Linked DNA regions of Rattus norvegicus. The protein of the gene in region 3 interacts with the protein of the main gene of each other region in a biochemical or structural test. Links are inferred from orthologs where the notes say so. Each region holds a gene or a part of one and is shown on either strand. Other genes may lie near its edges. The genes, in order: Enc1, Gsk3b and Nfe2l2.

Region 1 (3,748 bases), on a different chromosome or scaffold from region 3:
TAGCTCCCAGCCAAATGCCCTGGCACAAAGAGTCAGAAATGAGAGTCATAAACAGTTGTGGCTACATGAATTGATTTTTTTTTCGAATACTCTCGAGGCTTTACGGTGTGTGTGTGTGTGTGTGTGTGTGTGTGTGTGTGTGTGTGTGTGTGTGGTGGGGTACTATTTCTTGACTGAGCTCCAAAATCCACCAACCAACAAAACCCAAGAAAGGCCGAGTCTCGAGGTGACTGAGACGCCTTCCCTACCAGGAGGAGGCAGCGTGACTGCTCCTTGGAGGAGTTTGCTTTGAATCTAGCGGCCCTGGCGATTGGTTGCGAAACACGTGGGCCCGCAGGACCCAGCCGGGGTTGCTGTGGCTCCAGCTCCGAGCGAGGCAGAGTCCTGTCGCGGGTTCCTCACCAATTTGGGGTGGGGAAGGCAGACACCCGGCAAGAGCCTGGAGTAGAAGTCTGGCTTCTTGCCAGCAAGTAACCCAAAGTCCACTTGCTCGACCCGCAGTGTCCCCAAGGTCCAAACCAGGGCTTCTTCCCTTGCTCCAGCGGGAACGAGGCTCTGCCTGCGGTTGGGGGATCTAACCCAATGAGTGGCTGTGCTTGCCGGTGCGTGGGACCCCCGGCCTGGCCTTGACTATTCCACTGAGCATTCTTAGGTTCCCCGCACCCTTGAGCACAGGAAAGCTCCCAGGGCTGCTTTCCCCTGCAGTGGACGCCCCAGCCCCCGACCCAGCCTTGAATAGGGTTGACCCGGAGAGGCGAAGGTCCTCGGAGCCCCTCAAACTTATTTTCTTCGCGGTCCCCAGGGGCTGCAGCTGCCCGTAGCTGAGCTAGGGCGTCCGCTTTGTCTCCGTTCACTCCCCGCCCCACTTCCCTGGTTCCTCTCCGGCAAACTCCCCCCGACAGCCCCCACCTCCAGCCCCCAGCTCCTCCCGCTCCAGCCCGCAGCGTGGACGCGCTTCCTCCCTCCTCCCACTAGCGAGTCTCTTTGCATACGCGCCCCCTCCCGGGCGCAACTTATAGCCCGGCGCACGGTGGCCCGGCGCAGTCTGCTCCCGCAGCCTCAGAGCGGTCGGCGCGACGGAGGCGCTGCAGAGACCCAGAGCCGACGCCAGGCGGCCGCCAGCGCTCCCGCCGCAGCCCGGCTCCCTCCCACTGCGTGCAGCCCGCCTTCCTTAGCGGCGCGGCCGCCGCAGGCTCACTCTCCCCTGGCTAGGCGAGCGCCCGCAGACGCTTGGCCCGGCCGGGGCGCCAGGTCCGTAGCTGCTGATCGGGAGACCGAGATCAGCTGCCTGCCGGAGCCGGCCTGAGAGCCACTACCCGGGACGCCATCGCCTCCCTTCCCGGCGCTCTTTTCTCCCCGGCGATCGCCACCGCTTCCTGGAACAGAGACGCCTTTCTTCGGCTCCCTGCGGGTGACCGAGGCAAGAACCCCAGCCGGTTGTGTGCGGAGGCCAGTCGCCACTACTGTAAGTTTGCCCTGCAACCCCAAACCTGTTGCGGGCGCCCGGGTTTCGGGGGTTGGGAGGTCTGCCGCAGGGTGTGCTTGCGAGCACCGAGCCGGCGCCGGCCACCCTGGCTGTGGCTTAAGCCCAGGAGGTGCTCTCGAGGCAGAACTGTGGCTGGTGTGAGACAGCACTGGGAGAGCGACTTGCCTCTCCTCTGCAGTGTAACGCCCGGGCAAGTCTCGGTGTGTGCGAGGAGCCAGGTTGGGGGATGTTATTACCCCGGCTCCCAGCAGCCTTCAGGCAGCCCAGAGCGTGGGATCGGTTCCCCAGGGTGCCTCGTAGCCGGTTCCGGGGGACGGTGGGGGCCATGCCCAGACCTCCTCATGCGGGCACTTGACTTCAGCCAAATGAATGAAAACTGGTTCCTGAAAAACGAGTTTCCTCTCCTGCAAGCTTTTGCCTTTTAGAATGACATTAATTTCAAAGGCTAGGAATTGGTGGGCGGGGTGGAGATGAAACGGTGAACTTGGACTTGTAATTTGGTGTCGCCCTCACTGGCATGTCCAGCGTGTTAAATAGCGTTGCAAGTGTTGTAGGGGACTGTGGCGAAGAGCTATTTTTGTAAACATCTTTATAGTGTGGTTCCATTGTTGTCAATAATGTGAATGCTGGAGAACATCTGCCTGGTGTCTTTTCTCGTGGGATTGAGATCAAGCTTCAAACCAGGAGAGAGACGGAGGTGCTCCCAGTGTTGGAGGCAGACATCATGCGTGTGAACAGGAGTAAATGAGCCGAAGTTACTGAACTAGATGCCCTTTTGATGTTCACAGTAATAGTCTTTTTCTCTGCCTTCTTTGTAGATGCAAGTTAAGTATATATGTGCGTTTGGGGGACCATTTCCTTAGCATTCAGACTTATGTCTCTGGGGGCTTTAAAAAATGTTGGGAAGAACGATTCATTTTATGTTTAAGGTGTGTTTAGAAAAGGTATACATTATTTCTGTGGCTATTTTGATGTTTGCGTGCTTCTAAACCAGGGAGCACATTGTCTCCCTTGGGTCTTCAAGTGCACCTTTTGTTTTAATCATACAGTGGTTGCAAGATGAGAAATTGTGACCGTGACATCCCTTTCCTGTGGGATGGGGTCCAAGGTGATAGGGTAGACAGTGCCTTCTGGTTTTCGGGGGGGGGGGGCTTAGAAAACACAGACGCAGCAGCGTGTTGCACGTCTTGTAGGTCTTCTAGACAAACTGTTTTCTTAAGTATACACCTGGTTGTAGTTGTTTTATACCACCCTGACTCTCTAGCCCTGTGGGATTCCAGCTCAGCCTGCTAGCACTTAGATGCTTGTGTTCCTGGCGTTCCTTTCTTGGCTCGCAGCCCGAGAGGAGGCAGCTTCCATAGAGTAGACAATCATTTAGAGGTTTAGGCTTAAAATCTTCCTCAGAATAACTCAGACTGAACTGCACTCATTTAAATGGCATCACAGTGGTAAAGCAAGCAGGCTGCAAGTTCATGGGCTCTGAACACTTGGTAAGCTTAATGTATTCACAGAGGATGCCTCTAATGGGTCATTCTTCAGAACTTTCTACATGGGGTTAAGCTGGGCTTCGCTTGAGGTAGGATTGGTGCTTGAGATAGGGGTGATGCTTGGGTCCTCCTCATCTTCCTACCTACTGGAAATTTCTGGGTGCTTGCAAAGGTTTTGTAACACTGGAGCTTTGTAACTTTGATGCTTTCTTAGTTCTCTTTGGCCTTGTTTACTCATCGTGAAAGGTAACATTCCAAAAGCAGAGGAAAACAAGTTACCTCACCTAAAGACATGGGCGAATGTCCGGGCAAACACCTACCTTTGTTACTTTTCTCAGTGCCGACTTTCACAGCTGCTGGGGGTGGAGGGATGCAGTTATATAGCTCATGAATCTGGTAAGTCATCTATATTTATTAATAATTCCTGGAGTATAAATAAAAAGGTCTGAATGACTGAAGGAAGAGCAGGGTTTCAGCTGTGCTGTAAGTTCTGGCTGTTTGGGTCAGAAAAGGTAACAGTAGCTAACTACAAGGTCTGTCCCCCTGGCATAAGCAACCTCTGGAATCCTGAGGGGCAGGTTCTTAAGGCTTTATCTTCTGTTAGAGCCCTAGAAGAGTGCTGTCAGAAGGGGGAGTTAATTCCATTTTTCAAGATGGACAGTGGACATAGTCCACCTTATTGGCCCCCAGTTTTCTTACAGCAGATACTCAAAAAAGATAGCATTAGATTCCACTGATGCTAATTTTGGTACTTAGAAAAGCACTATAGTTAGCC
Region 2 (3,748 bases), on a different chromosome or scaffold from region 3:
TCATCCCATGTTCACATTTCACTGTGATCTCTAACATAGTCTACTATCTCCCAAAAGGCTTCTAATGTCTCTCCCTTCAGCTATCCAAATCCCTTCAGAACGTCTTGTTCAGCAATGCACAGTTAGTGCAGACAGATAGCTCCTAGATCCCCACCCGAACCTACAGGCCTTTTCTGCCCTTTATTAACTTACTTTCCTCTAAGCCTCAGCTCCCACGTCCCGGTTCTCCCGTGTAGGCTGGGGTAATTGAGATATACCACCTTACCTCCCATACAGAACAGACTGGCTGGGCCTGCCTTCTACCCAGTGCACTGCTTGTGTCTCCACAGGCTCATGGACTTAGCCAGCACCTGTTTTAAGAAGCACCTCTGCGGAAACCTCCCTGCTCCTTCCTCATCACCCTTTTCCTGTGTCCCTCTGAACAAATGGTTCACTTGGCGTTTTATAATACTGCGGTTATCAGGCTTATCGCCTTCGCCCTTTTCTGAATGTGTATGCCTTTACATCAGAGGCTCTGGGAACAAGGACTTAATGTCATACATGCCTTTTTGAACACCAGCACCCTAACAAATTCCTCTTTCATCTATGTGTCCTTAATATCAAGGTTATTTTTAAAAAAAAAATAGTAATAATTAGCATCTTTTTAATGTTGACTGATATGGTAAATATAAAATTAAAACACTTTAAACTATATTCCTCTGGGATTTCCTCCACCCTAAAGAAACTCTATCAAGGCTAAGTTGTTTTCAAAGAAAATCCTGGAAACAAGAAGAGAAATTCCCAACTTTGGTATTTTAGTCTGGCATTACAGATCTCTGAAATAAACCTCATAAATGGTCTAAAATTGACTGGGTTTTTTTTTTTTTTAAACTAGTCAAAGCACAAATACTGAAGTACCATGAAAGGCTCTTCAGTAGTTACCATGAAGTCTACTTCATCATCACTGAAAATGACCCTAGCATTTTTTAAAATTCCTTTCAAATGACTCCATAAAGTGCTTAGAAAGCATGACCCTTCCCTGAAAGATGTGAAATCAGCTTCCCTCTTAACATGCCCTGCGTTCTAAATTGGCTAGTCACTCACTGAAGGAAAGAAAAAAGTTAACTTGCAAAAATCTCTCCCACTCAGCTATCGCTCTGGATACAACTTTGGACTTCTCTGTTCCAGACAAGGTCCAAAAGCCTACAGAACTGCAATCCTGCATGCAGCTGGAGGATTCCTCACTCCCAGTTGCTTAATCAATTGCACATAACAATCCTGCGTGCAACTGGAGGATTCCTCACTCCCAGTTGCTTAATCAATTGCACATAACAGCACATGCATTTTAACTTTTTAAAAATCTTAGTTCTTCAGTTACAGCAGCTCCTCTCAGCCACAAAACAGTTTTATCTATCTCCTCCCTCTTCTTTCTCAAGGAATAAGGAAAATACCATAGATATTTTGGCCAGAATCTGCAACTATGTTCTAATAAGCTGTCATGAAATACCACATAAACATCTCCACAAATAGATACATTTGAACACTGGATACTCGGTATACCAAACACTTCAAGAACACAGACTTTTTTTTTTTTTCAGCACAGATTCCCCAGCAAAAGACTGACAGATACTCATAGATACATTTTAAATCAGCCTAAAAAGGTATCCACTTGTACTCTTTAAAAAAAAAATTAACAAGTAATAAATGCAACACCACTTCAAAATTAAACTTAAATGACAGTCAGTGACAACACTTAACTTAGTATTTGGCAATATGGCAATACAACCTCAATCAAAAGTTGAATCTCCAAGTTACCTTTTGATTACACAAATTATATGGTGGCAGATTGGTAATGTCAAAACAGGAAGGTTAAGAGATAACACATTAAACCACTTAAAAATTAAAAACAATGCACTCAGAGATGCATCTGCTGCGGGATATTTCTCAGCTCCCACCAGCCCGGAGAAGAGTGAGGGATGGATACTAGCTCGCCTCCAACGGGAATGTGGGTTACCAAGCAAGTTCCTCCCCAGATTCAAAAATACTTTGTGTAGTCACACAGGCAAAAAGGAAATATTAGGAGGCTGGGGCATTTAGTATCTCTATTTAGAATGCAGACCCGTGATAACCTGAGCTAACTAAAATAAACCCCCTCATTCCAGAAGACACGGACTCGGCAAATGTACATCATGGTTTATTAATCAAGCGTTGTCCTCTTTATTCAAAGGGATGGGCAAGCGAAAGCTTCCACCGCTTAACCCGGAGGCACTGGGGCACTTGAAAAGACTGACTACCAACAGCACGGAGAACGTAAGAAAATAAGTTTCGAATCCAATCAGCCAAATAAAACTAATATTCTCTCAATTCAAGGTTAATGAGGCTGGGGGAGGGGGGTATGGGTATGGGAGGAGAAAAAGGAGCTGCCTCATCTTGAGTCAAGACAGGTTTTGCCCTTTTCCACTACCACTGGCTGACTGACTGTTCTATCAGGTCTGTTAGTTTAGATCCTGGTATTTCGAGGTTTCTTATCTTAATGGTGAGGTGGAGAAAGGGTGTAAAATAAAATCGATACTCACTGCTAACTTTCATGCTACCAAAAGCTGAAGGCTGCTGCACTGGCTTGCAGCTCTCCGCAAAGGAGGTGGTTCTCGGTCGCCCCGACATGATGGCTCTTCTCGATTCACCTTTTCCTTCCTTAATCCTTTTCTTCCTTTTGTTTTATGTTAGGGTACTAGGTTAATAATAAATGCAGCATTAAGTTCTCCCGCAAGAAAAAAAAAAAAAAGACTTCGTTCTCTTGGCCTTTCACTCCTTTTGTATAGCTATTTAAGAAGAAAAAAAAAAGGAGCTATGTATTTCTTCAAGACAGATCGGTACGGATATTTAACACATAGATGATTTAGAGCTGGGGGGAAAATATAATTCTTTCACCTCCCTTTCCTGGGAGAGGAGAAAAAGGGTGGAGTGGAATCCTTAAAAAATATATATATATCACGTGAACGAGGGCAAATACTTGATTGAAAATAAGTACTCTGAGTATTATATTTTCCTCGGGGATTTTTTTCCGAGTCAATGAAGAAGGGAAGCGGCGGAAGGATCACGAGCCTCACGCTTGAAGAGAAGGGGGATGGGAAGGAGGGAGGAGATGGCTCGGAGATGCGACGGCAAACGCTGCGGCTCCGGCAGCAGAGGGATCCGGCGGTCTGACGGCGGCGGCGGCCGGGTGAATCGGAGGGCAGCGCAGTCGCGAGTCAGTGGCGGGCGGTGGCGGCGGCGGCTCCTCTCCTCATTGCGCCAGGAGCAGCTGCAGGCGGTGGCTGGATCCAGCGGCCATGGCGGCAGCGGCGGCGGAGGCAGCTCCCTTCAGACCCCAGGCAGCGGCTCCCTGACTGCTCCCCATACGCCGGGGACATGGGAACCAGGCAACCGCTTCCGTCCCTCGGGGTCCCCTCCCCCGTCCGCGGCCCCGGCACGGCCGGCCTCCGCCCCTCGCCTCTGCTGAGCGGCTGCTCGGGAAGTGTCCGCGCTGTGCCCCGAGCCCGAAGCCCTGTCAGCGGCTGCAGGGACGGCTCCTCCTCGCTGCCTTCCTTCCTTTGTCACTCGGCCCAGGCGGCGGCGACGGCGGCGACACAAGCCCGCATTCGGCCGGGTCGGGGGCTGCTCTGTGCGAGGCGCGCCGTCTGCGCAGTCGCCTAGCCCTTCCCCACTCCCCCCTCCCCCTTCCTACTCGTCCTCCGCCTCCTTCCTCCCCCACCCAGCCTTACACCGC
Region 3 (3,748 bases):
AAAAAGCATCTACTGCCATACATGGGTATAAAGTGCTTGTGTATTTTCCTTTTTCTTTTTTCTTTCTTTTTTTTTGGGGGGGGGGAGGGGAGCTGGGGACTGAACCCAGGGCCTTGTGTTTGCTAGGCAAGCGCTCTACCACTGAGTTAAATCCCCAACCCGCTTGTGTATTTTCAAAACCATTCTGAAAATGTAAAATAAGCAAATGTGGTAGGTGGATAACTGTCCTATGGAAAACACTACTGGGAATTAACTCAAACAATCCAGAGTAATTTAAGTCATGATATTCCTTTATTAGTGCTAGCTCCTTTTAATTTTTATCAGAGCTAAACAATTTAATATAAAAATGTCATTTCTTGTTCATACAGTATATAAAAAAGTATAGTGGTTTGGTTAGTTTTCAATAGTTTGCTTTTAGCCAGATGTCATATAAGTCTATGACTGTAACAAATGAGAACAGTATAAATAAGTTCTGTAGTATTTACACTTACACAGAAACTAGCCCAAATGGTGCCCAAGAAATTAACTTGAGAGTTAAAATGAAACTGATTCAACATTGAGACTTTAATGCTTTGTAAAGTTTCATATTATTTCTACACTAGCTTTGGCTATAATTCTGCATAGTTACTTATAAAGTGTTTCTGCATTTCACATCACAGTAGGAAGTTTTAGCCGTACAAAACAAACACTAGCTCAGAAAAGGCTCCATCCTCCCGAACCTAGTTTTTCTTTGTATCTGGCTTCTTGCTCTTGGGAACAAGGAACACGTTGCCATCTCTGGTCTGCTGCAGAGAGTACTCACTGGGAGAGTAAGGTTTCCCATCCTCATCACGTAACATGCTGAAGACTTCCAGATACAAAGTGCTGAGTTTTCTTTTCAGAAGATGGAGGTTTCTGTCGTTTTCTCCCTTTTCTCTGAGTAGTTTTTCTCTCTCGTCTTTTAAGTGGCCCAAGTCTTGCTCCAGCTCTACAATGTTTTCCAGCTTCCTTTTCCTACAGTTCTGAGCGGCAACTTTATTCTTCCCTCTCCTGCGTATATCTCGAATTAATGCAAGCTGAGCTTCGTTGAATTGCTCCTTGGACATCATTTCATTGAAGTCATCAACAGGGAGATTAATGATTTTTTCAACAGGGAATGGAATATGGAGAGCTTTTGCCCTAAGCTCATCTCTTGTGAGATGAGCCTCTAATCGGCTTGAATGTTTGTCTTTTGTGAATGGGACTTTTTGATGACCAGGACTCACAGGTACTTCTTTTTTTGTTGTATTTTCACACTGGGATTCGTGCACAGCAGCACTGTGCCCTTGAGCTGGCGACAGAGGCTGTACTGTATCCCCAGAAGAATGTGTTGGCTGTGCTTTAGGTCCATTCTGTTTGACACTTCCAGGGGCACTGTCTAGCTCTTCCATTTCCGAGTCACTGAACCCAGGCGGTGGGTCTCCGTAAATGGAAGACTCCACAGAGTGCTCTGGGGATGCTCGGCTGGGACTTGTGTTCAGCGAAATGCCGGAGTCAGAGTCATTGAACTCCACCGTGCCTTCAGTGTGCTTCTGGTTGAAAGCTTTACACAGGGACAGATCACAGCCCTCAATGGGCCCGCCCAGAAGTTCAGAGAGCGACTGACTAATGGCAGCAGAGGAAGGCATGCTGCCACCGCCACTGGGCTCTGCTAGGAAAGCAGAGTAAAATTCATCACCGAAATCTGTGTTCAAGGTGGGATTTGAGTCTAAGGAGTTCAGCTGGCTGGCATCATCCGTGGAGAGGATGCTACTAAAAGAATCCTCAAAACCATGAAGGAAATGTGGACTACAGCTGTCCACTTCTTTTTCCAGTGAGGGGATCGATGAGTAAAAATGGTAATTGCTGTCCATCTCTGTCAGTGTGGCCTCTGGGCTGGGGACAGTGGTAGTCTCAGCCTGCTGCTTGTTTTCCGTATTAAGACACTAGAAAAGAAGGTCACATTGAATGCTTTAGATCAGTTCCCCACTCCCAAATCCAAGGTCTTCTTTTCAATAATCCCGATAACTCCCATTTTCAACAGATAAGTATTTTATGGTTGTCAGAACTCTAAATTAGCTTTCAGTCTTAGAGTGAATTTGTCCTGAAATATTCAGTCTGATTAATTAAAAACTCTGTGTGTTAAGTGAGTTTGGGAAGCTCTCCTAAGTAATATAAATGCACCATCAGTTTCTTCCTTTGAGTAGGTAGCATGTCAATAATAAATAACCAGGATGACTAATTTAAAAGGCCCATAGAGGACAGCACACTCATCGAGCTCTCTCACCTGTAACTCGGGAATGGAAAATAGCTCCTGCCAAACTTGCTCCATGTCCTGCTGTATGCTGCTTAAATCAGTCATGGCCGTCTCCAGAGAGCTATCGAGTGACTGAGCCTGATCAGGGGTGGTGAAGACTGAGCTCTCAACGTGGCTGGGAATATCCAGGGCAAGCGACTGAAATGTAGGTGAAGAAACCTAAGATTGACAAGGTATTTACATGAGTGAGAGCAAAGACCTGTAGAACAGACAGCGGCAGGGGCTGCAGCTCTCAGGTTACTAATGGTTGCTTTTATAAAATGAAACATTTCTTCCCCCCCAATGTCTCCACATTTATCCACTATTATATCACTCCATGTGCTTAAAGGTAGACTTCAAAATGGATAAAAACATTCCTTACGACTTAATTTGTACCCATAATATTTAGCAAAGTGCTTCAAACAACAGATTAAGATTTTTAATCCAAGTACGGATTAATAGTTGCTCTTTACTAGACAAAATATTTTATATACCTATATCCATTTTTCCAGTTAAATTATTCTGATTCATGTTTCTAGCTATCCAGTAAAATGGACTTGTCGTTTAGTATTTAGCAGGTCTTATTTTTAAATGTTTTATAGATATCTGATACAGTTTATTTGATAATTTCTTTGATCAACTTTTTCCTTCTAAAATTTTCTTTTATTCTCTCAATTGGATACACATGAAAGGGACTAATTCCAGAAAAGACAGTTTTGCTATTAAGCAAACATTTTTATACCTCATGGTCATCTACAAATGGGAATGTCTCTGCCAAAAGCTGCATACAGTCTTCAAAGTACAAGGCATCTTGTTTGGGAATGTGGGCAACCTGGAGTAAGGGAAAGGCACAAAGGAACATCATTTGTTAAATGTTCTAAACCCAGGGGTCATGACTAGCATTAAGAGCTGTTCATAAAATAACCTATGAACTCATTTCAGAAATCAATTTGTTTTACAGATTCAAACCAGATCACTTGTGTTCAAATCATTAGTCCCTTTAATAAACTGTGCTAGGGGACCGAACCCAGGGCTCTGTGCTAGGCAATAAACTCCCTTCATTTTTGAGTGATCTAGGCAAATGATTTAACCCTTGTGAGCTTTAGTTGTTTATCAACATATAGCATGGGAATTGTACTTGACACAGCTACATCAGTTACTCATACAATTCAGGTCACGCCTGCCACAGCAGTGAACAATGCCCACTCCTCCTACCAACAGAACGTCTGCCATGGTCTCCTCCCTCCCAAGAGGATGATTCTGTAACTCACAAAGTATGCCCCATGATCTGTATTGTATCCTGATCATCGAAAGAATTCTCAAAGGAGCTCAGGTACTCAATTCATCGGGAAGCTAAGCTTGGGAACTTAATATCCTCACAAATGGCAGACCAAGAGCTCAAATCCGATGGTCTGCTTTCTCAGTCGAGTTTTCCTCAGACCCCACCAGAACCAA

What was found.
Region 1: the proteins of Nfe2l2 (region 3) and Enc1 form a complex in vitro, tested with the Homo sapiens proteins (2 studies listed by BioGRID). The link is inferred for Rattus norvegicus from reciprocal best matches to the Homo sapiens genes NFE2L2 and ENC1.
Region 2: of the proteins of Nfe2l2 (region 3) and Gsk3b, one has a biochemical effect on the other in vitro, tested with the Homo sapiens proteins (2 studies listed by BioGRID). The link is inferred for Rattus norvegicus from reciprocal best matches to the Homo sapiens genes NFE2L2 and GSK3B.

The regions. Positions count from the first base shown.
Region 1 is NC_086020.1:30,284,094-30,287,841, forward strand, and holds the start of Enc1 (ectoderm-neural cortex protein 1), read left to right. Parts: upstream 1-1,180; 5' UTR 1,181-1,465; intron 1,466-2,710; exon of another isoform or gene 2,711-2,976; intron 2,977-3,748. UniProt on the Homo sapiens protein: Actin-binding protein involved in the regulation of neuronal process formation and in differentiation of neural crest cells.
Region 2 is NC_086029.1:76,150,468-76,154,215, forward strand, and holds the start of Gsk3b (glycogen synthase kinase-3 beta), read right to left. Parts: upstream 2,783-3,748; 5' UTR 2,644-2,782; coding exon 2,556-2,643; intron 1-2,555. UniProt on the Homo sapiens protein: Constitutively active protein kinase that acts as a negative regulator in the hormonal control of glucose homeostasis, Wnt signaling and regulation of transcription factors and microtubules, by phosphorylating and inactivating glycogen synthase (GYS1 or GYS2), EIF2B, CTNNB1/beta-catenin, APC, AXIN1, DPYSL2/CRMP2, JUN, NFATC1/NFATC, MAPT/TAU and MACF1.
Region 3 is NC_086021.1:81,001,260-81,005,007, forward strand, and holds the end of Nfe2l2 (nuclear factor erythroid 2-related factor 2), read right to left. Parts: intron 3,126-3,748; coding exon 3,036-3,125; intron 2,474-3,035; coding exon 2,285-2,473; intron 1,944-2,284; coding exon 720-1,943; 3' UTR 270-719; downstream 1-269.